Linked DNA regions of Sus scrofa. The protein of the gene in region 1 purifies or fractionates together with the protein of each later gene. This does not show direct contact. Links are inferred from orthologs where the notes say so. Each region holds a gene or a part of one and is shown in the gene's direction. Other genes may lie near its edges. The genes, in order: CSNK2A2, HADHA, DCAF7, SIN3A, DDX54, CCNL2 and DDX41.

Region 1 (3,500 bases):
AATAATGCACAGGACTGCTACCCGTAACAAAGAATCCTCTGGTCCAAAGTGTCAATGGTGCCGACATGGAAAAGACCTAATCTTGTCTCTTGGACAATTCCATCTTATAAGAGCTCTCAATGCCAGGCGCATCAGTAGGTACTCTTAAGATTGTGGATTGCTGTCATCATTACTCAAGGAGTACTTTATGGATAAGACATAAAATGTGGGACTCATAGGCTTCAAGGGCTTTTTAAGACAAGCCAAAGGGCCCAACGTTGAAATTTATGAAAATTTATTTTCTGTATTGGAAAACGCAGATTTAGAAGCAAATTTTTATATTCCTTAAAAACAAACTTAACCCAAGTAAGAAATGGGTGAAAGATTTGAATTAACAATTGTCCAAAGAAAAGATGTGTAACCTGATCATTCATTATAGAAATAGCAAAACCATAATGAAATACCTCTTCAAACCCACTAGAAAGGCTCTAATCAGAAAGATAAACAGTAACAAGTGTTAGTGAGGATGTAGAGAAACTGGAGCCCCCATACATTGCTAATGGGAATGTAAAATGGTTCAGCCACTTTGGGAAATAATTAGGCAAACTCTTGAAAAGTTTATTGTAATTATAGCCCAGCACTTCCACCTTTAGGAGTCTACCCAAGAGAAATAAAAACATATGTCCTCTAAAAGACTTTTTTTTTTTAACTCCTTTTTTTTTTTTTTTTGTCTTTTTGCTATTTCTTGGGCCGCTCCTGCGGCATACGGAGGTTCCCAGGATAGGGGTCGAATTGGAGCTGTAGCCACCAGCCTACGCCAGAGCCACAGCAACGCGGGATCCGAGCCTCGTCTGCAACCTACACCACAGCTCATGGCAACCCCGGATCGTTAACCCACTGTGCAAGGGCCCAGACCGAACCCGCAACCTCATGGTTCCTAGTCGATTTGTTAACCACTGCGCCACGACGGGAACTCCTCAAAGACTTTTTTACATCAGCAGTGTATTCGGTCACTGGAATACTACTACAAGGAAAAAAAGCAACATGGATGAATCTTAGAAACGTTATGCTTAGTGAAAGAAGATAAAGAACTGTATAGGGAGTTCCCGTCATGGCGCAGTGGTTAACGAATCCGACTAGGAACCATGAGGTTGCCGGTTCAGTCCCTGCCCCTGCTCAGTGGGTTAACGATCCGGCGTTGCTGTGAGCTGTGGTGTAGGTTGCAGACTCGGCTCGGATCCTGTGTTGCTGTGGCTCTGGCGTAGGCCAGTGGCTACAGCTCCAATTCGACCCCTAGCCTGGGAACCTCCATATGCCGCTGGAGCGGCCCAAGAAATAGCAAAAAAGACAAAAAAAAAAAAAGAACTGTATATATTATTTCATTTTATGAATGTCCAGAAAAGGCAAATCTGTAGCAACAGGTGGTGGATCAGTGGCATAGGTCACAGCTGTTGCTGGGATTCGATCCCTGGCCCAGAAACTTCCATGTGCCATGGGTGTGGCCAAAAAAAGAAAAAAAAAATCTTAGCTGCGTGTCAGTGGTCTTACAGGAAGCAGTTTTCTCCTTCAGAGTCATAATTCTTTAACTGGATCAGGGATTGTTTTTAAGGAAAATTCTAATATTAGAATACATCTTAGTCTACAAAACCCACGTGGGATTTTGTAAAAGACAGGCCACACTGCCAGTATATTTAGATGTCATTCTTCATGTCTACATGGGTTCTTACATGTCATTTGAAACTGGCATGAGGAATGACTCCACTGAGGTTCCTAGATCTGGTTTTAGGCACACCAAATTAGACCAACAGATTCATGTACGTTTTAAATTCATGCGACTAATAGTTGCTTCCAGCCATAGGTAGAGACAAATGCCCAAAGAAATATGTAATTTCCCCCTTTTAAGAAATCTTCATGGATTTCCTGCTGTGGCATTCTGCAGCACCAGGATGCAAGTTCAATCCCCGACCTGGTACAGTGGGTGAAGGGATCTGGTGTAGCTGCAGTGTCGGTCTAAACTGTGGCTCAAATCTGATCTCTGGTCCAGGAACTCCATATGCTGCAGGGTGGCTGAAAAAGGGAAATCATCATAGTCCTTGGTGACTCCCCTCCACAGCCCCCATTCTGCTAGCATAGTGTGCTCAGAGAGCAAGGGGTGCCTTCTGAAGCATGTTTTTTGTTGTTGTTACAGACAGTAAGCTGCTCCTTGGGAGACTATTCAAATCAAACTGGTGCGAACAAGTACTAAGAATATGCTTGCATTGGGAGGAAGGTGATAGAGGGTTTGCTTACTTTTCTCTGTGCTTTCTTATCTAATAGGCTCTGGATTACTGCCACAGCAAGGGAATCATGCACAGGGATGTGAAACCTCACAATGTCATGATAGATCACCAACAGAAAAAGGTACCATTACAGCCAGGCAGTGCAAGCCTTTCATTGAAAGACTTTGGCCAGTACCTAGCTGGTTTATAAAGACCCATGTTGTTTTTTTCTTTGGAAGACTTGTGATGTTGTATTTCTTCAGTCTCCAGTGTACTTGGCGTAAGCATAGTACACAAGGAAAGTAGACAGCTGACCCTAAGTGTAGTTACTTGTTTACCTTGATGATGGTTTTCCGGGGGGCCTCAAGAAAGAAATTACGGTTGCTGATTTCTACTTCCTTTCTTAACGATCCTCAGACCAGTCGGCCTGGCCTTATGATTAAAAAGTACACTTGGATGCCACCTCTTTTCAGTATTCAGTCCTGATTGTACCTCACTGGTGAATAAATGAATTAGCTAGTGTTAGATTAATGAAAAGCTAGAGCAGTGCTTCAGTCCTAGAACAGGGCACATGCTCCATTTCTTTCTGTTATGACTAGAGCTTTATAATGAAAGCTGTCAATAATGAGGTGGATGTGTTATCACATGCAACTGGATGGAGGCAGAATAAAAACTTAAGCTTTATTGATCTAAAGAGAATGATAAGGAGTCCCTTTTGTGGCTCAGCAGCTTAAGAACTCAAACCCTTGTCTCTGTGAGGGTGCGGGTTTGATCCCTGGCTGGCTTAGTGGGTTAAGAATCCAGCGTTGCCACAGTATAGGTGACAGATGTGGCTTGGATCTCACATTGCTGCAGCTCTGATTCCACCCCTAGCCTGGGAACTCGAATGTTCCCCAGGTATGGCTGTAAAAAGGGGGAGGGGTAAAAAGAATGATAAGCCAGGATAATTTAAATTTTTAAAAGAAAAAGCAAGTAAGATTCCAGGTGCTCTGCTTTAGAAATAATCTTAAATGTAGTTGCTGAAAGTATCAACAGTGTACTTTATGTGGCCAAATACTTATCTAAAATGATGTGGCCTTGTTGTAAGACACAGGCATCTAAAAAACATTCCTTTCCCACGTTTTATTTGCCATACTTATAGCTGCGACTGATAGACTGGGGTTTGGCAGAATTCTATCATCCAGCTCAGGAGTACAATGTCCGAGTAGCCTCGCGGTACTTCAAGGGACCAGAGCTCCTTGTGGACTATCAGGTAAAATTGTT
Region 2 (3,500 bases), on another chromosome or scaffold:
TTTGGAGGCATCTCGTAGTAGAAAGAATGTGATGTGGGTTCAAGTTGTCTGGAATCCTAGTCCCCTCCCTTCACTAGCTCTTGGACCATGAGTCCGTCTGAGCCCTTTGAGCAGCTCAGCCCCCTCAAAATGGGAGGAACACGACGACCCCACTGAGTGCGTGAAAGGCACGTAACACACTCTGACCCACAGACACTCAATGAATGTTAGTTTCCTTTTCGCCCCCCCTGACTAGAAATGTCTTTTTTCCAGACTGAATGATAAAGTGAGGAAGAAAGCACTAACATCATTTGAAAGGGACTCCCTTTTCAGCAACTTGACCGGGCAGCTCGATTACCAGGGTTTTGAAAAGGCCGACATGGTGATTGAAGCTGTTTTCGAAGAGCTGAGTCTTAAGCACAAAGTGCTCAAAGAGGTAGAGGCGGTAAGTGAGGGGCCTGCCGCACTGAGTCCTGGTGCAGCGGGTGGAGAACACAGACGGGGGTTGCTTAAGGAGGTGGAGGGAACTCGTTGTTCTGGGGCCATTCATTCCCAAACATAAGTTTTTATGTGAACCCGTGCACACTGTATGTTACAAAGGTCAAGTCAAAGTCCTCAGAGAAGACAAGTAGGAGTTCCCATGCGGCTCAGCTGGTTAAGGTGCCAGCGTTGTCACTGCAGCAGCTTGGGTTCAATTCCTGGCCAGGGAACTTCCATATTCTACGAGTGTGGCCAAAAGCAAACAAACCTAAAAGAGAAGGAAGAGGATTCCGGTCAAGTGATATGCGGACTATGAACAAATGAACACAGTAGTTCCGTTGAAACATAAGTGTTGAGAAGCAATGGGACAGAACCTGTTAGGGAAAGAGAATGAAAAGCGGAGGCGTTTGATGTGCTGGCGTTGTCACTGCTTAGAGGCAGGCACCGGGGAGAGGGAGCAGACGGAGATGGGAAGGGGAGGTATTCAGCAGATAAGTGAGAAAAGAGCAGGCAGGTTATTGCTGAAGGCAAAACCCAGAATGTCGCATTTGGGAGTTCCCGTCTTGGCTCAGTGGTCAGCAAACCCGACTAGCATCCATGAAGACGATCCTTGGCCTTGCTCAGTGGCTTAAGGATCTGGCGTTGCTGTGGCTGCGGTGTAGGCCGGCAGCTGCAGCTCTGAATCGACCCCTAGCCTGGGAACCTCCATATGCCGCGGGCACCACCCTAAAATGACAAAAGCCAAAACAAAGGCACATTTGTTGTGGTCATCTGTGTAACATGTCAGGGGGCCTTTACCTCTTTAGTGAAGCGAGTGAAATCATCTAAGGTGGGAGATACTCCAAGTTACTCAGAGAAGAGTGAGGTCCAGAGCAGACCCCTCTTTAGAAAACCAAAGAATGTCAGGCGAAACACCCTTAGGAGGGCATCGAGTCCACCCCCCCCCCCCCCGCCCCCGGCCCCGCTTTCCTTAGAGGAAAACGTTAAAGCGGAGTCCGCACTGCGCTCCTCACGGATTTACAGCTTCTCCTCCTCGTCACAGAACTGAAGAGACCCACGGCTTCGAGACCTTCCCAGGCCTCGTCTCCAGCCCCCTCTGCCTTGGTGTCTCCTTTGCTGTCTGCACTGTGTCTCAGTGTTCTCTGGGCATGTGACGGGCCCCCGCAGAGACAGCTACCTTTCCGCAGTTGTGCAGGTCGGGCAGGGCGCTGCCCAGGTGGCTGGCCCTTAGCTCCGTGCGCCCTCCCAGCAGGGGCACTCCTGGGACCGCCCTGGGCGGAAAGATTGCTGAGGCGCCTGCCCTCCATCAGGGTTCCAGCCAGAACTCCCCTGCAGCAGAGCCGCCGGCTTCCAGGAGGGCCAAAGCAGAAGCCAGCGGGCTTCACAAGGCTGGGGCCGAACTGGCAGAGTCACTTCGGCTGCTTTCTGTTGGCAAAAGCAAGTCACAGGGCAGCCTGGATCTAAGGGGAGGGGAGAGACTCTGCCTCTGGATGGGAGGAGAGAGACACCTGGGTGAGGAGGGGGCATCGCTGCCAGCCATCTTTGGGGACATTGGTCCGCTCTTCACAGAGAGCTCTGCCAACGCCACTGGACCCCACACCGCTAATGATGCAGCCTGAGACTGTGGTAGCTTTCTGACTGTCAGGCCCCCCTTTGGACTCGCATTATACTTTTGATGAAATAAGGTCATGGGCTCTTTAACACAAGGCTACTGCCAAGCCAGGTCTTGTGCCTTAGGTGCCTCTCCAGGTCTTTTTTCTCTTCTTTTTTACAAAATCTTAATGTAGTGCTTTACCTTCACCCTCCCTATAATTGATCTGATCTTATACTCACCTTTTCAGGGTGTCGAATATTTCTGGACCCTTGATTCTCATGTCTGGTGTCAGGCTTCTGCCTGTCACAGATTTGCACACATTTGACAGGTGTGCCTTGCATGTTTTTCACTCAAGCATCTGAATAAAAACATGAATATGTTTGGGCAGTGGGCAGAAGGCTGAGACAGTCTACACTAGAGACTTCTCGGGGTTGATAAAGCTAACAGTTAATGGCGTTCATGCACTGTGGGTATAATCAGAGTGGTGTACCAGTTCTTGGTAACACATGGTAAAGTATCAACTAGGCGGGCACATCGTGGCTTGTTCTTAGAAAAGTGAAGGACGGGGTGTCTTCCGTCTGATCAGTTCTGGGTGAGCGGGTGGGCAGCGGCCGGGTGTCACTCATTGGCTTTCCTTTGGACGCTCGTCGTCTCCCAGGCCCTCATGACACGTTCCTAAATGCTTTCCTCCTGCAGGTGATTCCAGATCACTGTGTCTTTGCCAGCAACACGTCTGCTCTCCCGATCAGTGAAATTGCTGCTGTCAGTAAAAGACCTGAGAAGGTAAATTCTGAACAGAGGAAAACCCTGAAATGTTTTACTGCACCAGCCTCATTGATGAAGGCTTAGAACATGAGAAGGGACTGGTATGGACTCTGAAGTGGACGAGGGTGCTGATGTAGTCCCCAAAACTGGGCACAGAAAAGACCAGTGTGAGATGCAGGAACAAGTGAAGTCCCACTCAGGTAGATCTTTGTGGTGATCTGCGCCCCTAATAGGGGTTATTATTCAGCTTCAGGCTATAAACCCTTCCTTTATTCCAGGTGGCCCTGGTGATAGGCCCTAAAATAAGACGAGATGCTCCAAACGGGCACCTTCCTGTGGAGCAGACTCTGGTGACTGCCTGGGTTGGGTTTGGTTCCAACTCCAGAGCCAGGTGTGGAAGATCAGGGGGTGTGGTGGGATGGGCCCACCCACGGCTTTGCTGAGACCTCCTTCCCCGGGACCGAGGGGCAGCTGTCGAAGCACCTTCAGCGAGTATTTGGAATGATGCTTCGACACTTAGCTTTGGGCTTCTGCGCTCTACCAGGAAATCAGGTGAAATCATTCAGGTCGAAATAAAGCAGTTCACCTCTACGGAGGACACCAGTTAGCTGCAGCGAACCAGAACCAGGCAAAAGCAGACAGGAAATATAAAAGGCCTCTAAGCAGCTGAAACTGTTAATGC
Region 3 (4,186 bases), on another chromosome or scaffold:
GTTCACCTACGGAAGTGGATAGGACTGTGAGGAGTTTGTTACATTAAACAGTGTCACTCAGTCACTCAATTCTTTGAATTCTTTCTTTTTTTTTTTTTGGCCACCTGGAAGCACATGGATATGGAGTTCCCTAGCCAGGGATCAGATCCCAGCTGCGGTTGCCGTCTACACTGCAGCTGTGGCAACCCTGGATCCTTAACCCACTGTGTGGGGCTGGTGATCAAACGTGCGTCCTTCTTTCTGAGTTTTCTGTTAACAATCACTTTTATCACTAAAAACTATATATATATAGTCTTTTTAAGGTCACATGTGCCCTAACTATTGAGGTTCCCACGATAAGGATCGAATCAGAGCTGTAGCCGCTGGCCTACACCACAGCTCATGGCAATGTCGGATCCTTAACCCACTGAGCGAGGGCAGGGATCGAACCTGCGTCCTCATGGATACTAGTCAGATTTGTTTCCATTGAGCCACAACAGGAACTCCACTAAATACTATATTTAATGATATATTATCTAACAATTCAATACAATTTTTTGCTTAGTTTTGTTGAAAGCAAATTATTGGAAACCATTTAAATTATAAAGAGATGTTACCTAGATTCTGACCCTTCCCCATTTCAAATTCAAGACACTTATATATTTAAGGCTAGATTAGCATTTGCCTTGGGACGCTCGTGGGAAAAGATGGAAACAGAAGCTGACAGCCACGCTGGCGGGGTTGCTGCCTGCTGAAGACCAATCCTCTAATTCCAAGCACTTCTAGAATGGCCAGGAAAGGTTGACTGAAGCTGGCCTGGTCCTGAGTAGAGCGGCGTGTCCGCCGTCTGCCCTTGGTACGCTGGGAGAACAACATTCCAATTTAAAGGAGGCGTTGGCGAAGCAGGGAAATAAAGGGGTTTCCCTTCGGCGCAGGCCCGTCCGCAAGGCCCGGGAGCTCAGTGCCGCGAAACGCAGCAGGCCCTCTCGTAAGGCAGACTTTTCATTTTCACTCGCCAACGTGGAGAATCCGGTCAGAATAGCAGCTGCAGTGGGGAAGTCAGAGCAGTCACGTAAGAGGTTTCACTCTCAGAGACTTGGCCTAGAACTTGGAGGCCTGCTGCACAGTACGCGAGCTTTTAAGCCGCCCACACCCCGATTCACCCGCACTGCGCCGTTATCTCTCTGACTGACATCTTTGTCAGCCAATGACCTTTGTGGCTGTGAAAGCGCCTGCCCCCTGGAGTTGGGCAGAGCAAGTAATCGGAATGACAACCATACGCACCAATAGCAAGGAGGTTTCAGAAGCTACGGGTACACTAGCCAATGAGGAGAAGGAGCCGTTCGAAAGGACGTGTCAGGTAGCCAACGGCCGGCGCCGCTGAGGGGGTCGCGTGGCTTCCGTTCTAGAGGGTGGGGCGGGGTCTCAAACGGAAGGTGGTTGTTGTCCGAGCCGAAGCAGGTTTGAAAGTGGGGGTCGGGCTCGGCTGTCGTTGTCTGTAGCAGCGGCCCCGCTTCCGGGCTAGGCTGTCCGTACCCGCCCCCGCCCCGCCTCCCTTCGGACCCCTCCGTCCCAGGCCTGACTCCCTGCCCGATTCGCGCCCCGCCCGCCGCAGCTCGCTGCCGTCCCGGCCCGCACTGCGGCCCCGCCGCCGCCACTATGTCCCTGCACGGCAAACGGAAGGAGATCTACAAGTATGAAGCGCCCTGGACCGTCTACGCCATGAACTGGAGCGTGCGGCCCGACAAGCGCTTTCGCCTGGCGCTGGGCAGCTTCGTGGAGGAGTACAACAACAAGGTGGGCCGGGCAGGGGCTCGGAACCCAGCTAGAGGGACGCGGGCACCTGGAGCGCCCTTTCCCGGCCGGAGCTCAGACCCCAGGACCCTCCTGCGGACCTGCCTTAGCGCCACGGAGCGGTTCCTCTGTGTCTGGCCCTGTGCAGAGGGTTTCGCTCTCGTCTCATTTAATCCTTGCAGCATTCCTGGGTAGTCAGGAGTGTAGTTACCCGCATTTTACCGATGGGGGAACTGAGGCACCGTGTTGTGACTTGCCCCAGTCAGACAGCTATTGCGTGACGGAAACAGGTCTCAAACCCAAGTTTGCAGCGCAGAGCTGTGCCGTTTATCACGCCTATCCCCTCCTCTCCTGCAGCTTCAGTTGGGGGGCGGAGGAGGGATGAGGGAGTGATGGCTGCGAAGAAGATGCTGGAGCCCCGTGGTCCTTCTCCCCTGGCCACACTAGATTTCTATTAGGACTGTTTAGCAGGTTTCACCGCCCCCTGTTCCCTGGATTTCCCCAGCCTTTCTGCCGGGATTGCCATTGCTATTGCTGCCTCATATTCGTCCTCTTCAAAGCTATCTCTTTTTGGAAATCTTGCCAATGGCTATTGTCTTCTGCATAGAAAAGGGTGATGCTTGCCATTTGTTTTCTTGGCATCTTTCATGCTGATACAGACAAGTAACCTGGAGTAGAAGTAAGTCTTTCTGGACATCCACAATTTGAGAATCCTTTTTAGAAGCGCGGTTAATAGGAGGAAGCTTGAAGCTGGCAGTGACACATAAATTTAGTTTTGGAAGTTGAATAAGTTAGTGGAAAGAATTTTCTTTCCATTACTCCGTAGTTTGCCATTTATTGTATTAGAGTAAGCGTTGTGATTGACTGATAGTGATCAGAGCAACTGAGAGCCATGCTTAGTGGTGTTTAAAACCTGTACACCTGCTTGACACCAGGAACAGTCTAATTTAAGAATAAATTGTGGGCAGAGGCATGGTGCAGGGGAAAAGGCCAGGTGCTCTAGGATTAGGCCTTGTCTAGTCCACTGATTAGCTGTGGGACACTGCATAGGTAAGTTTTATTATTTCTGACCCACAGTTTGTTGTAGGAAAGAAGTCCTTTAGAAAACATTTGAGCATTGTAATTTTGTTTGCAGGTTTTCAGGAGCACATCTTAGAATTAGATCTTAAGGAGTTCTGGTTGTGGCTCAGCAGTGACGACCCGACTAGGATCCATGAGGAGGCTGGTTGGATCCCTGGCCTTGGTCAGTGGGTTAAGGGTCTGGCGTTGCCAGGAGCTGTGGTGTAGGTCACAGACACAGCTTGGATCCCAAGTTGCTAGAGCTGTGGTGTAGGCCGGCAGCTGCAGCTCCAATTTGACCCCTGGCCTGGGAACTTCCATATGCTGTATGTATGCCTTCCCTCCCCCCAAAAAAATTAGGTCTTAAATTTTTTGTAATCCTTTTTGAGAAATTGATGAGAACAATGGACTCTTGTTGCCCAGACATCCCACATACACACTTTACAAACAAATCCCTGAAAGTATGCACTGATCTCGGAGTCCACGATTTCCCACAGAAACCAGAGAGTCCTGAAAAGACATAGCTTTATTTTTCTTCTGGAGCCTCTTTCTTCCTTATGGCACATAGTGGACCGCAGAGCTGCTAAAGTGAAATTCAGGGTCCTGATGTGTAAACTGAATTAGTAAAGTTGAGAGCACTAGAACTGTTGTTTAAGAATACATGTTTAAACAAAGGGGGGGTGGTAGTAAAATACATCTTTCAAAGGGCTTGAGTCTTTTCACACAGACGGATGGATTTTTTTTTCTTGCAAGGTCAATTTAGGTAAGCAGTAGCAGCCCCATTTCTAAGAGATGAGAAACCAAGCCACAGTTAGGCTGCTGGTAGAATCAGTGGAGTAATTGGTGTCAAACTTTGGTTGCAGGAACTCTGCCCCCAAATTTATCCTTTCAATTATGGAGCTCCTTCTTTGTGCCAGGCACGCAGGCAGTGTGGTTTTAGTCGTAAAATGCTAATTGATAATCCCAGTAGTAATAGAATAAGCAGTTACCTCTGTCTTAACTCACTTGCGTAATGTGGGCAACGTGGTGTCTTAAAATGGTTTTTGTGTCCCCTGCCCCAGGTCAGAGTTCTTGTGTGTGTATATGTGTTTGATGGACAGCTTTGGCAGTCGGAAGCCAATAGACCTCTGTTCATAATTATGTTTTCAAATGCATAAAATACATGGGATTACAAAGGAAACCAACCATATGACTCATAGTTACTAAAAACATTTTTTGGAGTTTTCTCATGGTGCAGCGGGTTAAGGATCCGGTGTCGTCACTGCATCGCCTTGAGTTGCTGCTATGGCTCTGGTTCAATCTGATCCCTGGCCCTAGAACTTTCGAGTGCCGTGAGCATAGCAAAAGGCAAAAC
Region 4 (3,500 bases), on another chromosome or scaffold:
CCTCCACGTCCATGGCACTCTGTACCATACTGTGAATCCCTGCTAAGAGCTGGGTCCTCCCTTGGTATCACCTGGTGAAAACTTATCTGCTGCATAATTCACAAGTGCCCAGATGTTATTATTCCTCCCTAGTCTTCCCTCAAGAGCTGGCAGGAGGTATTCCTCTCCTTGCCAATAGCATTTAACTTTTGGCTTGGAGATAAAGGATATTCTTTAGTTCTAGTGCTGGTTTTGGTTTTACTCTCCTCTCCTCTTCTGGAGTATCAGGATCAGTTGTTCTCATTAGAACTTCCAAACTGTGTCCCAAAGAACATTTCTGTGCAAGTTTTCTGCCCTTGGACTTTTGCATTTACATTAGCATAGTAAACGTCCTCAGAGATCCTGTAGCAAAGAAAGTTGTATCACTTTGAGCTGCCCCAGGGAGAGAACCCCTTTTTCTGAGGTATTCTATGAAATGATGTTTGAGAAATAACTATTCTTGGCAAGGTTTCTGACTTTAGGACAAATGACTTCCCCAGAATAAGTCCTGAATGAGTAATTTTCTCATGTGGTAGAGTTTAAGGCTGATTTGGATAAAATTTACCCCAAAGTTGCCAACAGTTTGGATCTTCTGTATCTTTTGACCTTTGAAATAGAGAAATAGAATAAACCTGACTTCTCACTTCTAAAACCTTATGAATTAGGTGCTATTATCCCTATTTTACTTATAAGTCTTATGGTTACTATGGCAGATCCAGGATTCCTACCTTAAAATTCCCTCATCTGGACTCCCATGTTTTGTTGTTTCCAACCCCACCCACCTTAGGTTGAAGATGAAAGAGGAAGAATGGCGAGAAGCTCAGAGAGGCTTTAATAAGGTGTGGAGAGAACAAAATGAGAAATACTACTTGAAATCTCTGGACCACCAAGGCATCAACTTTAAACAAAATGACACCAAGGTCCTGAGATCTAAGAGCTTACTCAATGAGATTGAGAGTATCTATGATGAGGTAAGCCGGAGGTCTCTACATCCTTGAGAAGTCTCCAGTATATATGTCAGCATAACTTTGACTCCGGCAGATTACCTTTGTTATTTGAATGGGAGACCTGTTGATTCTTGCTTCGTAGTTGTCATAGCCTCTATTCCTGAATCTACCTTTTTATTTTATTTTATTTTTTTGTCTTTTTGCCTTTTCTAGGGCCTCTCCTGTGGCATATGGAGATTCCCAGGCTAGGGGGTCCAGTTGGAGCTGTAGCCACCGGCCTACACCAGAGCCACAGCAACGCGGGATCCGAGCTGCATCTGCAACCTACACTACAGCTCACGGCAATGCCGGATCCTTAACCCACTGAGCAAGGCCAGGGATCGAACCCACAACCTCATGGTTCCTAGTCAGATGCATTAACCACTCTGCCACAACAGGAACTCCATATTATTTTTTTTATTTATGTATTTTTTCTGCTGTACATCCTAGATGTAAAAGTAGATCCTAAAGTAAATCCTAGATCTCATGGGGACCAAGTTACACATACATGTATACATTTTTTTTCCTCCCTTTGTTCTGTTGCGATGTAAATATCTAGGCAGGTTCTCAGTGTGATTCTACCATTCTAAATCTAAGCCTCACTAAGCTGTTGTATTGGCTTCCCAGTTTATGATCCCGGTTTCAGTTCATGCCCATCATCTCCCTCTCCCACTTCTCTCCCCATCTATTTCCCTAAAATTCCTTAGAGCTCACCTCAACTCCCCACAACTTAAAATACCTATCATTGATCCCCAGACTTTCTTCTTCTTTTTCTTTTTTTGGCCATGCCCATGGCATGTGAAAATTGGAAGTTCCCAGGCCAGTGATCAAACCCCTGTCACAGAAGCTACTCAAGCCACTGCACTGACAACGCCGGATCTCTAATGTGGTGTGCCATAAGAGAACTCCCCCCCATACTCTTCCTAATCCTTGTTTGTCATCCTTACCAGGATTATATATAGTACTAGGAGCTAGGATACAGAGATGAATAAGAAATTAATCCTACTTTCTTCGAGCTTACAGTCTTAGGGGATAGATAGAAACAAACACAGTGTGATTGAGATTCCTAGAAGTGGTGTGATCTGGGATTTTAAAAAACTTCTTATGATAATTTCAAACATATGCAAAAGGGGAGAGAATAGTAAAATGAGCTTACGTAAACTTGAATAATCATCTCTCTTTTGCCTGTTTCATTGTATCTGTTAACCTTCCAAACTCCCACCACAGAAATATTTTAAAGTAAATCCTAGATCTCATATCGTATCCTCCATAAATATTAACTTAGAATTTTAAAAAATGGTCCCAGTTCTGTCCCATTTTCCATATAAGTCTAAAATGTCTGAAAGATACAAATCGTTGTGGTATCAAACACATTATCTTTTTGTTTTTGAATGTTTGGGATTGGAAAATAATGGCTGCTATGGTGTAGTCTCGTAGGTCTGTTTATCATCTCTGTAGGTATGTCACATAATGCTTTCTTTCTCTTTCCTGTTAGAGGCAAGAGCAGGCTACGGAAGAAAATGCTGGTGTGCCTGTTGGCCCACACCTCTCACTTGCCTATGAAGATAAGCAGATTCTGGAAGATGCTGCTGCTCTGATTATCCACCATGTGAAGAGGCAGACAGGCATTCAGAAGGAGGACAAATATAAAATCAAGCAAATCATGCATCACTTCATTCCAGATCTGCTCTTTGCTCAGAGAGGTGATCTCTCGGATGTGGAGGAAGAGGAAGAAGAAGAGATGGATGTAGATGAAGCCACAGGGGCAGCTAAGAAGCACAATGGTGTTGGGGGCAGTCCCCCTAAGTCCAAGCTACTGTTTAGTAACACAGCAGCTCAGAAGTTAAGAGGGATGGATGAAGTATACAACCTCTTCTATGTTAATAATAACTGGTATATCTTTATGCGACTGCACCAGATACTCTGCCTGAGGCTGCTGCGGATTTGTTCCCAAGCTGAACGGCAAATTGAGGAAGAAAACCGAGAGAGAGAGTGGGAACGGGAAGTGCTAGGCATAAAGAGAGACAAGAGTGACAGCCCTGCCATCCAGTTACGCCTCAAAGAACCTAGTAAGTGTTTAGTTGATTGGTCTACAAGAGAGTGTGTTGGCCTACAGAAGATGTGAAGGGTTGGGGACCTCAGAACCTAGTTAGACTCTGAACTGCTTTCTTGCTTTCTTTTCTTTCTTTTCACGGCTGTACCTATAGCATGTGGAAGTTCCCAGGCTAGGGGTTGAATTGGAGCTGCAGCTGCAGGCCTGTGCCACAGCAGCAACGGATCAGAGCTGCATCTTTAACCTATGCTGCAGCTTGTGGCAACACCGGATCCCTGATCCGCAGAGGGAGGCCAGGGACTGAACTCTCATCTTCATAGAAACATTGAGTCCTTAACCTCCTGAGCCACACTGGGGACTCAAGGGCTGCTTTCTGTTATACGTAGAATACAGGCAGGCCTTATAACACTGCAGTTTACTGGTTGTGTGGCCTTACTTAAACT
Region 5 (3,500 bases), on another chromosome or scaffold:
AAATGGGCAGACCAGGGACTGTTGGCAGCAGCAGGGCCATGACTCAGGCAGCGTCAGCCCTGGGCCTTCATGGTGGAAGGCAGGGCTGCGGGACCAAGAGTGTGCTGTGCCCCTGGTGGCTAGGGGCTGGGCCTGCTCATCCACCAGTATGTCTCTCTTACATTTGATCGGATAGGGCTCCAGAGGGCAAAAAATGTTCTTAAAAACCCCTGGACTAGTCCACATCATATAGAGCAAGGCCCAGGCCCAGAGAGGGACAGGGCCTTGCCTTGGTCACATGACCTGAGGGAGGCTGAGCTGGGACAAGAATGTGGTGGGTCTCACCCTCGTTGGCACCCTGCCCTCCTCCTACCCCACCTGGCCTGTCTCTCCTGGTGTTTGAGGCAGGGGTTGTGCTATGTGTGCAGATGAGGAAACAGGGTCTAAATGGCAACACCAGGTTTTCAAAGTCCCGGAAGCCCCTGGACCGCAACCTGGGCTGGTGGGTTGGGTGGCCAGTCCACTCCCTGGGGGCAGCGGGTGACTCCTGGGCCTCCATCCGCCAGGACGTCTTCACAGAGGTCGTGGGCCAGAAGCGGCAGAAGCCAGGACCTGACCGGGGAGCCAAGAGGCGGAGGGAGGAGGCCCGGCAGCGGGACCAGGCGTTCTACGTCCCCTACCGGCCCAAGGACTTCGAGAGCGAGCGAGGGTGAGTGACTCCTGGTCCCAGTTTAGGGCAGGTGGGTTAGGGTAGGTGGGCTTGATGGGCACCCCACCTCCAACCCCATGACGTCTCCCCAACCCTCCCTCTGCAGCCTGAGTGTCGGTGGGGACGGGGGAGCCTTTGAGCAGCAGGCGGCTGGTGCTGTCCTGGACCTGATGGGGGACGAAGCCCAGAGTCTGACCAGGGGCCGGCAGCAGCTCAAGTGGTAAGTGAGCCAGTGAGCACACCCCGCCATGTCCCCGTCTGCCACTTGGTCCTCACAATAGGCATGTGACCTCCTCCCTGACTGTCTCTCTTATGTTTGATCGGACAGGGCTCCAGTGGGCAAAAAAATGATGCCCTAGAGCAGGAATTATGACATCCCCACCCTCATTTGATCCTGCACAGCACAGATTATGACACACACACCCTCAGCCCATCCTGTAGCAAAGTGGGAGTTGGGAACTCCTCCAGGGCACCCCTGTATGTGACCCAGGCCCCCAGACCTTGAACCCCCAGGTTGGAGCTAATCCCCTGACTCTCACACTGCCTTTTGAGACCTGGGCTGCCAGGGAGTGGTGAGGAGGGGCAGGGCACAGGCTTTTATGTTGCACCTGCTGCACGCCATACGTGGGCACCCTGCTTTCCTTGAATCCTCCAGCGACCCAATGAAAGTCAGGGGGAAACAGGCCCCGAGGCAAGTGGGCCACCTCCCTCCGCAGCACACCTCCCAAGTTCCTAACTCCTTTTCCCACAGGGACCGGAAGAAGAAGCGGTTTGTGGGACAGTCAGGACAGGAGGACAAGAAAAAGATCAAGACAGAGAGTGGCCGCTATATCAGCAGCTCCTACAAGCGGGACCTGTATCCAGAAGGGCGTGGCCATGGGTGGGGGGGGAGCAAGCACCTTCTGCCTCCACATCTCCTATAGGTGGGGGCGGTGTCAGGGAGGGGCGTGGTCTAGCCCCTATAGTTGAGGGCAAGAGAATGGGTGGGGTCGATCGGATTCAACCATCAAACCCCCTGTAGGTAAGGCCTGTATCTTCTGGGCAGGGTGGGGCCCACACGTGTCACGGGCATCTGGATGCTGCAGGCAGCCTCCTTAATGCAGCCTCTCAGATACCAAAAGTGGAAACAGAAACAGAAAATCGATGATCGTGACTCAGAAGAGGAAGGGGCTTTTGACCGGCGAGGCCCAGAGCGAAGAGGTGGGAAGCATGGCCGAGGGCAAGGTAAGAGTCTGGGTAGGATGGTCCTTAAAGTGCAGGTTGGGAGTTCCCATCGTTGCTCAGTGGTTAACGAACCTGACTGGTATTCATGAGGACTTGGGTTCCATCTCTGGCCTCGCTCAGTGGGTTAAGGATCCTGTGTTGCCATGAGCTGTGGTGTAGGTCACAGGCGTGGCTCAGATCCCACTTTGCTGTGGCTGTGGTGAGGCCTGCAGCTGTAGCTGATTCAGCCTCTATCCTGGGAACTTCCATATGCCACAAGTGTGGCCCTAAAAAGACAAAAAGACCAAAAAAAACAAAACCGCAGATTGGCACATTTGGTCATCTCGGGGGCTTGGTCCTCCTCATGTGGTGTTTTTCCTTCTCTGGTGGTGGACACCTCTTCTGTCTCTCCCTCCATTTCTGTCTTGGATTTTCTCTGACGTGTCATCCTCTCTCGTTATTCTGTAGTTTCATCCTCTCCTTTTCCATTTCTGACTCTCTCCCTGTCCCTCTCTCTTTCCTTGTCTGTTTCTCTCCATCTTTCTCTGTCTTTCTGTATCTCTTTCTACTTTTCTCATGGTTCATGTTATTTTTTCTCCTGCACACATGCACTTCCCAGCTTTCTCCTCCTCTCTTGTCTCCCTGTGGATGTCCCCTGGCTCCCCCCAGGCTCCCTCACCCCTCACTCCTCAGCTCCCAATTTTACCCGGAGTGGAGCAGGCTGCTGCTGTGGGCTTGATGGTGAGGGTGGCCTGTCAGCTTCAGGAAAAAGCAGCTGTTCTCCCCTCTGTCCTTTGTCCTCACTGGAGTGATGGGTCCCTGTTAGGTGCCCTGGCCCCCATGGAGTCAGCTAGGGCCGCCTTAATGATCATCTGTGTGGGAGCTCTTCCGTGGTCATTGACGTGGGTGGGAGAGGGAGCCTAGAAGTGGGGCACAAGGGCCTGGTGGGGATCCGAGGGGCAAGGCCACTGACCACTGCTGCTGCCACTTTGCTCGGTGACTTTGGCCAAGTCCCGTCCCCTCTCCAGTCTTCTCTGATTTCTCTCCTGCCAGAGGAAGATTAAGCTACAGCCTGTTTTCGTCTAACAAGCTTAGAGCACACCATCCATAGAGACAGGGATTGCAGTCCGTCTGGGTCCTTAGCGCCTGCATAGTGGAGACACTGAAAAGCCTTCATTGAATGATTTCTAATTGTAATAGTTACATTTAGGAGGCCCTGACTGTAGACTAGACCATGTTCTGAACACTACACATGTAATAGCTCATTTACCCCTCATTAGGACTTACATGGTAGGTGTTGTTATTCATAATTCACAGCAGGGGAAACTGAGGCACAGAGAAGTCAAGTCATTTGTCCAAGGTGCAAGTGGTCATAGCTGGGATTTGAACCCTGGCAGTATGGGCTTGAAGGTCCATGCTCTTGTTCGTTACAGAAGACTCCTTAAGCTTTATTAAGCAGTTGCTATCTGCCAGATGTCAGAGCCACAGCAATGAACATGGGATGTGAATAGGGGCAGGGGAGCAGCTTGGAGGCTTCTGGCAGGAGAAAACATTGGAAGCGGACTCAAAGGCTGAGCCCCCCAAATCTCTGTCCTGGCAGGTGCATCCC
Region 6 (3,972 bases), about 44 Mb from region 1:
GGCTACAGCCATAAACTTTTCCCTCTGGCTAGTCACTGCAGGAGATGGGAAGCATCCCAGGCAGGGGCAATGGAAAACACTGTTTCCAGGGGGTTTCAGAAGAGGAAATTCTTCCTTTCCTGGACAGTGTGCTATTGTAGCCCACAGAGGAGACATGCTGGCGATGCCGGCTTGGGGGGTAGGAGCAGGGGAGCACGGTTATCATGTGGCCTGTGGGGATGAGAGACAGGTTTAGTTGGCACTGCTTGAGCTGCAGGATTAAGTCTCTTCAGGAGTGAAAGCCAATGGCACCCTCCGGGTTTGGGGTTTCAGTCATGGGCGCAGTCACTGGCAGCTCCTGTTCTCCCGCACCCATCCAGGCGCCTACCCTGCCATCTCCTCTCCACCCTGCCCTCGCCCGGTCTTTTCCACATCCTCCCAGGTTCTTCCACTAATCTCGGTGGAAGTTTGGGAAAACTTTAGTAATAACGATTACCGCATCGGACGCGATTACAACACTGCTGTCCGGTGACGTAAAAATTCATTGATCCTGGGAGCGCCTGGTACAACCGATGAGGAAATGAAGTCAAACCCGTCGATGGCTCCCCGCTGTTTCCAGGAGAAATGGCTGGAAACTACCCTTTCTTTTCTGTATGGACTCGACTTGTAGGCGAGAACTTTGAGAATATGGCATTAACACGTGTGCCCCAAAACCTGGTCTCAGTAAAGGCTAGAGAGTAATGACCGCGCCGGCTGCCTCGAAGACCTCCGACACCGCCACCCAAGCTCTGGACCCCTGCCCTGCAGGACGCAGTCCCGGCGGTAGGAGAGCCGCCCCCACTCCCACTGCCCGGCAAGGGCCCTGCCCTCCCCTGGGCCCCCGCGGGACCCCCCAGAAGCCTGCGGCTGCAGCGGAACCCTCGCGACCTCACGGACCCCGGCACCAGCTGTGCGCCAGGACCGGAACCGGCGTCTACGGCTAGTACTTCCGGGTCGCGGCCGCGGCCTCGCTAGGGCGCCGCGGGGCCTCCTGGGTAACGTGCCCGGCCCCGCCCGCTCCGGTTCCGGCGTCGGGTGAGACGCTGACGGGCAGGCGGTACAGCCAATCGCCACAAGGCGGGTTCGGGCCGCCCACCAGTCGAACGAATGGTACGCGGCGGGGCGGGGCGGTCGCGGCCGTAGAGCGTCGCGAGGAGCCGCCCTACGGGGAAGGAGCCCGAGAAGGAGTCGGCGGCACAAAATGGCGGCGGCGACGGGGACGGCCGGGACCGGGGCCGGGGCTCCGGGCTCGGCGGCCCCCGCGGCAGCGGCCGGCACGCCGGGCTCGGGCAGCGCAGCCCCGGGATCGCAGGGGGTGCTGATCGGGGACCGGCTGTACTCTGGGGTGCTCATCACCCTGGAGAACTGCCTCCTGCCTGACGACAAGCTGCGCTTCACTCCGTCCATGTCGAGTGGCCTCGACACCGACACCGAGACCGACCTCCGCGTGGTGGGCTGCGAGCTCATCCAGGCGGCCGGCATCCTGCTCCGCCTGCCGCAGGTGAGGGAGCGGCCGCGAGCCTCGGGCCGAGGTAACCGCCGTGCCGGCGCCGGGGGAGGCGGCGGGGCCCTTTGTTGGCGGCAGGGCCGGGCGGCTCGGCGCCGACGTCCGACCCCAAGCCCGCTCCTAATTCCCACCCGGGCCCCGGGCCCAGCGCGTCCCGGAGGTAGTGAGGGAGGCAAAGCAGCGGGACACGTTTTAGTTTTTGGTTGTCAGGAGTCTCAGGAAACTCAGTGACTTAAGTATGAAACACTCAGAGTAGGCGTTTGGAAAGGATGGAAACTTTTCTCTTCTGTAGGTGGCCATGGCTACAGGGCAGGTGTTGTTCCAGCGGTTCTTTTATACCAAGTCCTTTGTGAAGCATTCCATGGAGGTAAGACCTCCTCCTCGTCTGTCTGTCCCGCAGAAAGGGGGGAACCGGAAACCTGGGTTTGTTGTTTTGCCGCGTTGCTCAGTGGAGTGAGTCCTTGTCTTCCACCACCTGCAGCGCTGTCCTTAAAGGCTTGGGGAGCCCCCTGTGCGGTAGATAGGTGGCCTTTTTCTCCCGGTACCCCTCTTTGCTCTCAGCTGGTTTTAAGCTGTGGGAGGTGTCGCCGCTGGAGCAGACGTCCGTGTTGCGTTGCTTCCATTTCAGCATGTGTCAATGGCCTGTGTTCACCTGGCCTCCAAGATAGAGGAAGCTCCCAGAAGGATCCGAGACGTCATCAATGTGTTTCACCGGCTTCGACACCTGAGGGAGAAAAGGTGCGTCCGAGTTAGAGCTGTTGCAGGTGTGCGTGTGCTCGTTCTCGCGGCTGTCCAGTTACACGGATGTTTCTGAAACAAGATTCAGGATGTAAGCTTCTACTTGCTCGCTTTTCTTTGTCATGGCCGCACCTGCGGCACATGTAAGTCCCAGGTTAGGGGGCAGATCAGAGCTGCAGCTGCCAGCCGTCGGCACAGCTGCAGAAACATTGGATCCAAGCCACATCGCAACCTACACTGCAGCTCTGGGCATCTCTGGACCCTTAACCCACTGAGTGGGGCCAGGGGTTGAATCTGTGTCCTCATGGACAGTGTCGGGTTCTTAACCAGCTGAGCCCCAGCGGGCATTCTCGGGGTTGTGAGGTTTAAACTTGTGCCCAGAGGAGCCCTGGTGCAGAGGGGGCCGACCCATACTGTTTAGTGAGTGAAGAGTGGTCAGGGAAGTGTGGCAGTCGTCTTTCTGGCATCGGTTTCCTGGTGTGCCCCCGTCAGTCTCTGAATGCTCCAGAGCTGGCTTGTCACCCTCAACACTGTTTCCATTTTTGGGTGGGTGATGCTTTGTGGGGGGCTGTCCTGTGCGTTGTAGGGTGTCTAGAAGCATCCTTGGCCAGGCCTTCCAACCTCCAGCCAATAAAACAGCCTCTGCTATTGAAATGCTGTACTCTGCTGGTCCTTTGCTTTCCCATTCACTTGTGATGCACATGCGTCTTGAGCAGGACGAACCAGGAGCAGTCCTTGGGTGAGGAGCTTGTGAGACCCTCCAATATGTTCAGTGGCATTTCTCAGTCAAACACAGGGAGAGAAGTTCACACTGGCACAGTGGGTTAAGAGTCCGACCGCAGCAGCTCAGCTCACTGCGGAGGCGAGGTTCAAACCCTGGTCCTGGTGCAGCGGGTTAAAGGATCCAGTGTTGCAGCTGCGACTTGGATCCATTCCCCATCCCGGGAATTCACAAGTGCTGTGGGCACGGCCATTAAAACAAAACAAAATGGAAAGAAAACGGGAGAGCCTTCCTGAGAAGGGTAAGCTGGGTGGCGCTGGGGTTCGAGGAAGCCGGTAGTCTCGCTGGTTAAAGGAAGCCGACTCTGTTTCCGGGAGGCTGTCGGCGGCGGCCATCCTGGGTTGGACAGATTCTGTTGTATTTAATTCTCACTAGATGCGTGCTCTGTCTTTGTAGAAAACCTGTGCCTCTCCTGCTGGATCAAGATTACGTTAATTTAAAGAATCAAATCATAAAGGCGGAAAGGCGAGTCCTCAAGGAGCTGGGCTTCTGCGTGCACGTGAAGCACCCTCACAAGGTGGGTACGAGGCCCCGCTGCCGCCCCGTGTCACCCAGATTGGAAACGGAAGAGGAGTAACTGGGCCCCTGACTCCAGTGTCCCGTTTGCACTCTAACCTGGAAATAAGTTTTTCCGTGGTCTTGTGTTACGTTAATTTTAATGGCGTCTTTTTAAGAGCTTTGAGAACTGCATCTTGGGTTTGAGCTTTTCAAGATGGGAATGAACTTGTCAAAATGAGGTGTCACTCTGCATTTTTTTTTCTCAACAGCTGACTTTCTAAGTTGTTTTAGTGACAGTTAAACCAATTTTATCATTGATTTCCACTGCTGTCAGCTTCTGCTGTACAGCGGAGTGACCTAGTCCCGCCTGCACACCTGCATCCCTTTGCTCGTGTTCCTTCGCATCACGGTCCATCACGAGTGATGGAAC
Region 7 (4,057 bases), on another chromosome or scaffold:
TCTGTAAACTCACAAGCCATGTTTGTGTCTTGCTCATCTTTTATCTCCTTCGACACTGGGCACAATGCCCAGCACATACTCATATTTAGTATATGAAGGGGGAGTTCCTTTTGTGGCTCAACAGGTTAAGAACCCAGCATAAGGTCCGTCAGGATACTGGGTTGATCCCTGGCCTTGCTCACTGGGTTAAGGATCACTCATTGTTGCAAGCTGTGGCATAGGCCGGCAGCTGCTCCAGTTTAACACCTAGCCCGGGAACTTCCATATGCCACAGGTGTGGCCCTAAAAAGGAAAAAAATCATATATATGAAAAATCATATGAAAATCATGTATAAGTATTTATGAAAAGAACAGCACTAACCTGTCGCTCCTTTTAAAAAGTCCTCAGTGAGGAGTTCCCGTCACGGCACAGCAGAAAAGAATCCGACTAGGAACCATGAGGTTTTGGGTTCTATCCCTGGCCTCGCTCAGTGGATTGGGGATCCAGCGTTCCCATGAGCTGTGGTGTAGGTCGCAGACGCAGCTCGGATCTGGCGTCGCTGTGGCTGTGTGGCTTTATTCTTCATCACCGTGAACATAAGGTATCACAGGGAGGACCCCTATCCTGGGAACCTCCTTATGCTGGTGGGTGTGGCCCTAGAAAAAGACAAATAAATAAATAAATAATAAAAATAAAAGTCCTCAGTGGATAGTTCCTATTGTGGCTCAGTGGTAAGAAACCTAGTATCCATGAGGATGTGGCTTTGATCCCTGGCCCCGCCCAGTAGGCTAATGATCCGCAATGTTATGAGCTGTGGTGTAGGTTGCAGAGGAAGCTCTGGATATGGCGTGGAGTGGCTGTGGTGTAGGCAAACAGCTGCAGCCCCTAACCCGAAAACTTCCATATGTTGCAGGAGCGACCCTAAAAAGAAAATAAAAATAAAAGGCCCCAATGAAATTGAAATTACTTACCCTGACAGTCTCGGCCCTGCATGCTCTGGATCTACTTTTCCAGCTTTAGCTCTGACTATCCCCTTCTGATACAAGCCAAGTGATCTCTTTGTTCCCTGAGGAACTTGCACATGGCCAGAACTTCACTCCCACTGGACCCTCTATCACGAAGCCTCTCTCTTCCTCTCCTGCACTCCCAGCTCTGAGACTCCACAGATCCAGTTCTCCTAGAAGACTTCTCTGGTTCTCCGATCACTGTCTGAGCTCTGTTACAGCATTTACAATAATAATCGTTTACATACATGTACAGCCCCTCAGAAACCACCGTCATCAGTATTTCATTTATTCTTCATCACCGTGAACATAAGGTATCACACAGATGAGAATCCCAGTCAGGGCGGCAGCATGTGTTGAGTCATTTATTCTGCAAGCCCCACCCTGACCCCTGTGGCCCGTGAGAGTTAATGGCGGCTGGAGAGAGCGGGGCGGGATCCCAGCTGGCCCGGTCCCAGAGCTCCCTGGCCACGAGAGGACAGTGTCCGCTAGCGGGGGTGTACCAGGTAACGTCACGCCTTAGGCGAGGCTGGGCACCTGGCAAGCCGCCCTCTTCGGAGTCAGCAGATTCCACGCTTCAAACAGGATCGGCTTGAGCCTTCAGCGCATGCTCCAAATTTTGCAGCGTCCAACGGTGCCTTGCCTAAGGCTTTAGCTCTCAGCCCTGGCAACAGCTGCGTAGCCGCCCACAGGGAACTGGGATGCGGCTCCGCCAGACAGGGACTCAGGAGAAAGTTTGTCCCTCTGCGCGATCCGGCACTCAGGTCGCTGCTAGCTGCCGACGTCTGCTTCTTCACATCTGATTGGATAGCATCATAGGAAAGGCGGGGGGCGGGGGTTTGCCGTGGCGCGCATGCGTATAGCAAAGAATGGAGGAATCCGAACCAGAGAGGAAGGTGGGAGCTTTGCTCGCTGGGGTCCGCGTGGGTTGCGAGTGGTAATGAAGTCGGGGAGTCTGGGCCTTGACTCGTGTATATCTGCAGCGGGCTCGCACCGACGAGGCAACTGCCACAGGAAGCCGCTCCGAGGCGGAGGATGAGGACGATGAGGATTATGTACCCTACGTACCACTGCGACAGCGCCGGCAGTTGCTGGTCAGGGCCCTGGGTCGCGGGGACGAATGAGGGCAGGAATGAGGGTTTGGCTGTGGCATGGGGGATGGCCCCAGGTTTGCAGAGTGAGGTGTCAGTATACAGGAGCATGGTCCCCAGGCAAAGGGGGGAACTGGTGAGGCGACGTGATCTGAGGGATGGGGCAGCTCTGCACCTCGGGGCACAGGATCCTCTCCCAAGAGCCAGGATCCTGACACCTGCCCCTGGGTCCAATGCCCCACTCTGCATTGGACTCGGCTCTGAGAGGCGCTCGTGGAACCTCAGCTCCAGAAGCTGCTTCAGCGAAGGCGCAAGGGAGCTGCGGAAGAGGAGCAGCAGGACAGCGGCAGCGAACCCCGAGGAGATGAGGACGACATCCCGCTGGGCCCTCAGTCCAACGTCAGCCTTCTGGATCAGCACCAGCACCTCAAAGAGAAGGCTGAAGGTGAGTTGGGCAACAAGAGGGAGGCTCAGCTTGGTACATTGCTTTAGTGTCTTTCTGACACCTTCTGCTGCTTTTGTCAGCCCGCAAAGAGTCTGCCAAGGAGAAGCAGCTGAAGGAAGAGGAGAAGATCCTGGAGAGTGTAGCTGAAGGTCGAGGTATGGTTGTAGGCAGGGGCAGAGAGGAGGTGGACTGCCTCTCCTCCTCCAACCCCAGGCATGTTATATCTCAAGGGGGTCTGGCCTCTGGGAAGCAGTAGCCAGTCCTTAGCCACATCTCTCTTCTCAGCCTTGATGTCAGTGAAGGAGATGGCTAAGGGAATCACATACGACGACCCGATCAAAACTAGGTATGTCTTTCTGGCCTGTGGAAAGTCAGTAACCCTTACTTGGGACCGTATTTGGGGGACACTGGCAGGGACACCCTAAAACCAGCTGTGTCCAGGGGCTCTCTTGACCCTTGCCACCCACCCACAGTTGGACACCACCCCGGTATGTTCTGAGCATGTCTGAAGAGCGGCATGAGCGTGTACGGAAGAAGTACCACATCTTGGTGGAAGGTGATGGGATCCCACCACCCATCAAGAGTTTCAAGGAAATGAAATTTCCTGCAGGTACTTGGGAGCTCGGAGCAGTACCACACTATGATAGTGGAACATTTGTGCAGTTGCATCCTTGCCCTCACTGAGCTCAGCAGCTACATCTTTGGGTCCAGTCAGTGGGGATGGAGGGATTGGTCTTGATGATTCTTTTTCAGTTGGTGCAATTATACATATGTACTACTCTCTGCCGTTAGAGAATTTTAGTGGACAGGTAACAATGGCCTTTAACAGACCTGGCTGTGAACCCTGCCTCCACTTTACCTGGAGGCCTTGGACAAGCCTGTGTCTGTCTTTCTCTCTTAGTTTCAACATAGTGCCAGTTTTATGGGCTTTGGGGGGCCTGATGAGACACAAGGATGATGGCAGGGTTGTTTTCTGTAGCCATCCTGAGAGGCCTAAAGAAGAAGGGCATCCACCACCCAACACCCATTCAGATCCAGGGAATTCCCACCATGTGAGTGTGAACCTGCTGGTGTTGAGGAGGGTGGTGACAGGGAGGAGCGGTCGTTAGATGAGAGGCAGTCCGTTTATTCTACTGAACCTGACCCTCAGGTCTGTCTTCTCTCAATAGTCTCTCAGGCCGAGACATGATAGGCATTGCCTTCACGGGTTCAGGCAAGACACTGGTGTTCACCCTGCCCGTCATCATGTTCTGCCTGGAACAAGAGAAGAGGTTACCTTTCTCTAAGCGCGAAGGGCCCTATGGACTCATTATCTGCCCCTCGGTAAGATAAGCTGGCTGGGGTTGGGAGTGGGGGAATGCAGGGCACCAACAGGGCCACCTCTGGTAGCAGCCATTGCCCCTGTACCTACAGCGGGAGCTGGCCCGGCAGACCCACGGCATCCTGGAGTATTACTGCCGCCTGCTGCAGGAGGACAGCTCGCCACTCCTGCGCTGTGCCCTCTGCATCGGGGGCATGTCTGTCAAAGAGCAGATGG

Evidence for each region.
Region 2: the proteins of CSNK2A2 (region 1) and HADHA purify together in Homo sapiens (affinity purification with mass spectrometry; 3 studies listed by BioGRID and IntAct, with this or other methods). This does not show direct contact. The link is inferred for Sus scrofa from reciprocal best matches to the Homo sapiens genes CSNK2A2 and HADHA.
Region 3: the proteins of CSNK2A2 (region 1) and DCAF7 purify together in Homo sapiens (affinity purification with mass spectrometry; 8 studies listed by BioGRID and IntAct, counting the BioPlex papers as one, with this or other methods). This does not show direct contact. The link is inferred for Sus scrofa from reciprocal best matches to the Homo sapiens genes CSNK2A2 and DCAF7.
Region 4: the proteins of CSNK2A2 (region 1) and SIN3A purify together in Homo sapiens (affinity purification with mass spectrometry; 3 studies listed by BioGRID and IntAct, with this or other methods). This does not show direct contact. The link is inferred for Sus scrofa from reciprocal best matches to the Homo sapiens genes CSNK2A2 and SIN3A.
Region 5: the proteins of CSNK2A2 (region 1) and DDX54 purify together in Homo sapiens (affinity purification with mass spectrometry; 3 studies listed by BioGRID and IntAct, with this or other methods). This does not show direct contact. The link is inferred for Sus scrofa from reciprocal best matches to the Homo sapiens genes CSNK2A2 and DDX54.
Region 6: the proteins of CSNK2A2 (region 1) and CCNL2 purify together in Homo sapiens (affinity purification with mass spectrometry; 3 studies listed by BioGRID and IntAct, with this or other methods). This does not show direct contact. The link is inferred for Sus scrofa from reciprocal best matches to the Homo sapiens genes CSNK2A2 and CCNL2.
Region 7: the proteins of CSNK2A2 (region 1) and DDX41 purify together in Homo sapiens (affinity purification with mass spectrometry; 3 studies listed by BioGRID and IntAct, counting the BioPlex papers as one, with this or other methods). This does not show direct contact. The link is inferred for Sus scrofa from reciprocal best matches to the Homo sapiens genes CSNK2A2 and DDX41.

Annotation. Positions count from the first base shown.
Region 1 is NC_010448.4:19,985,725-19,989,224, reverse strand, and holds part of CSNK2A2 (casein kinase II subunit alpha'), read left to right. Parts: intron 1-2,295; coding exon 2,296-2,379; intron 2,380-3,378; coding exon 3,379-3,489; intron 3,490-3,500.
Region 2 is NC_010445.4:112,787,843-112,791,342, forward strand, and holds part of HADHA (trifunctional enzyme subunit alpha, mitochondrial), read left to right. Parts: intron 1-252; coding exon 253-424; intron 425-2,749; coding exon 2,750-2,836; intron 2,837-3,500. UniProt on the Homo sapiens protein: Mitochondrial trifunctional enzyme catalyzes the last three of the four reactions of the mitochondrial beta-oxidation pathway.
Region 3 is NC_010454.4:15,348,197-15,352,382, reverse strand, and holds the start of DCAF7 (DDB1- and CUL4-associated factor 7), read left to right. Parts: upstream 1-1,386; 5' UTR 1,387-1,638; coding exon 1,639-1,776; intron 1,777-4,186. UniProt on the Homo sapiens protein: Involved in craniofacial development. Acts upstream of the EDN1 pathway and is required for formation of the upper jaw equivalent, the palatoquadrate. The activity required for EDN1 pathway function differs between the first and second arches.
Region 4 is NC_010449.5:58,220,321-58,223,820, forward strand, and holds part of SIN3A (paired amphipathic helix protein Sin3a), read left to right. Parts: intron 1-805; coding exon 806-989; intron 990-2,499; coding exon 2,500-3,073; intron 3,074-3,500. UniProt on the Homo sapiens protein: Acts as a transcriptional repressor. Corepressor for REST. Interacts with MXI1 to repress MYC responsive genes and antagonize MYC oncogenic activities. Also interacts with MXD1-MAX heterodimers to repress transcription by tethering SIN3A to DNA.
Region 5 is NC_010456.5:38,651,267-38,654,766, reverse strand, and holds part of DDX54 (ATP-dependent RNA helicase DDX54), read left to right. Parts: intron 1-545; coding exon 546-688; intron 689-794; coding exon 795-908; intron 909-1,439; coding exon 1,440-1,544; intron 1,545-1,799; coding exon 1,800-1,912; intron 1,913-3,491; coding exon 3,492-3,500.
Region 6 is NC_010448.4:63,665,254-63,669,225, reverse strand, and holds the start of CCNL2 (cyclin-L2), read left to right. Parts: upstream 1-1,172; 5' UTR 1,173-1,219; coding exon 1,220-1,519; exon of another isoform or gene 1,520-1,550; intron 1,551-1,817; coding exon 1,818-1,892; intron 1,893-2,153; coding exon 2,154-2,263; intron 2,264-3,440; coding exon 3,441-3,561; intron 3,562-3,972. UniProt on the Homo sapiens protein: Involved in pre-mRNA splicing. May induce cell death, possibly by acting on the transcription and RNA processing of apoptosis-related factors.
Region 7 is NC_010444.4:80,431,808-80,435,864, forward strand, and holds the start of DDX41 (probable ATP-dependent RNA helicase DDX41), read left to right. Parts: upstream 1-1,257; 5' UTR 1,258-1,853; coding exon 1,854-1,880; intron 1,881-1,967; coding exon 1,968-2,078; intron 2,079-2,360; coding exon 2,361-2,520; intron 2,521-2,600; coding exon 2,601-2,675; intron 2,676-2,805; coding exon 2,806-2,866; intron 2,867-2,993; coding exon 2,994-3,130; intron 3,131-3,499; coding exon 3,500-3,572; intron 3,573-3,689; coding exon 3,690-3,843; intron 3,844-3,933; coding exon 3,934-4,057. UniProt on the Homo sapiens protein: Multifunctional protein that participates in many aspects of cellular RNA metabolism. Plays pivotal roles in innate immune sensing and hematopoietic homeostasis.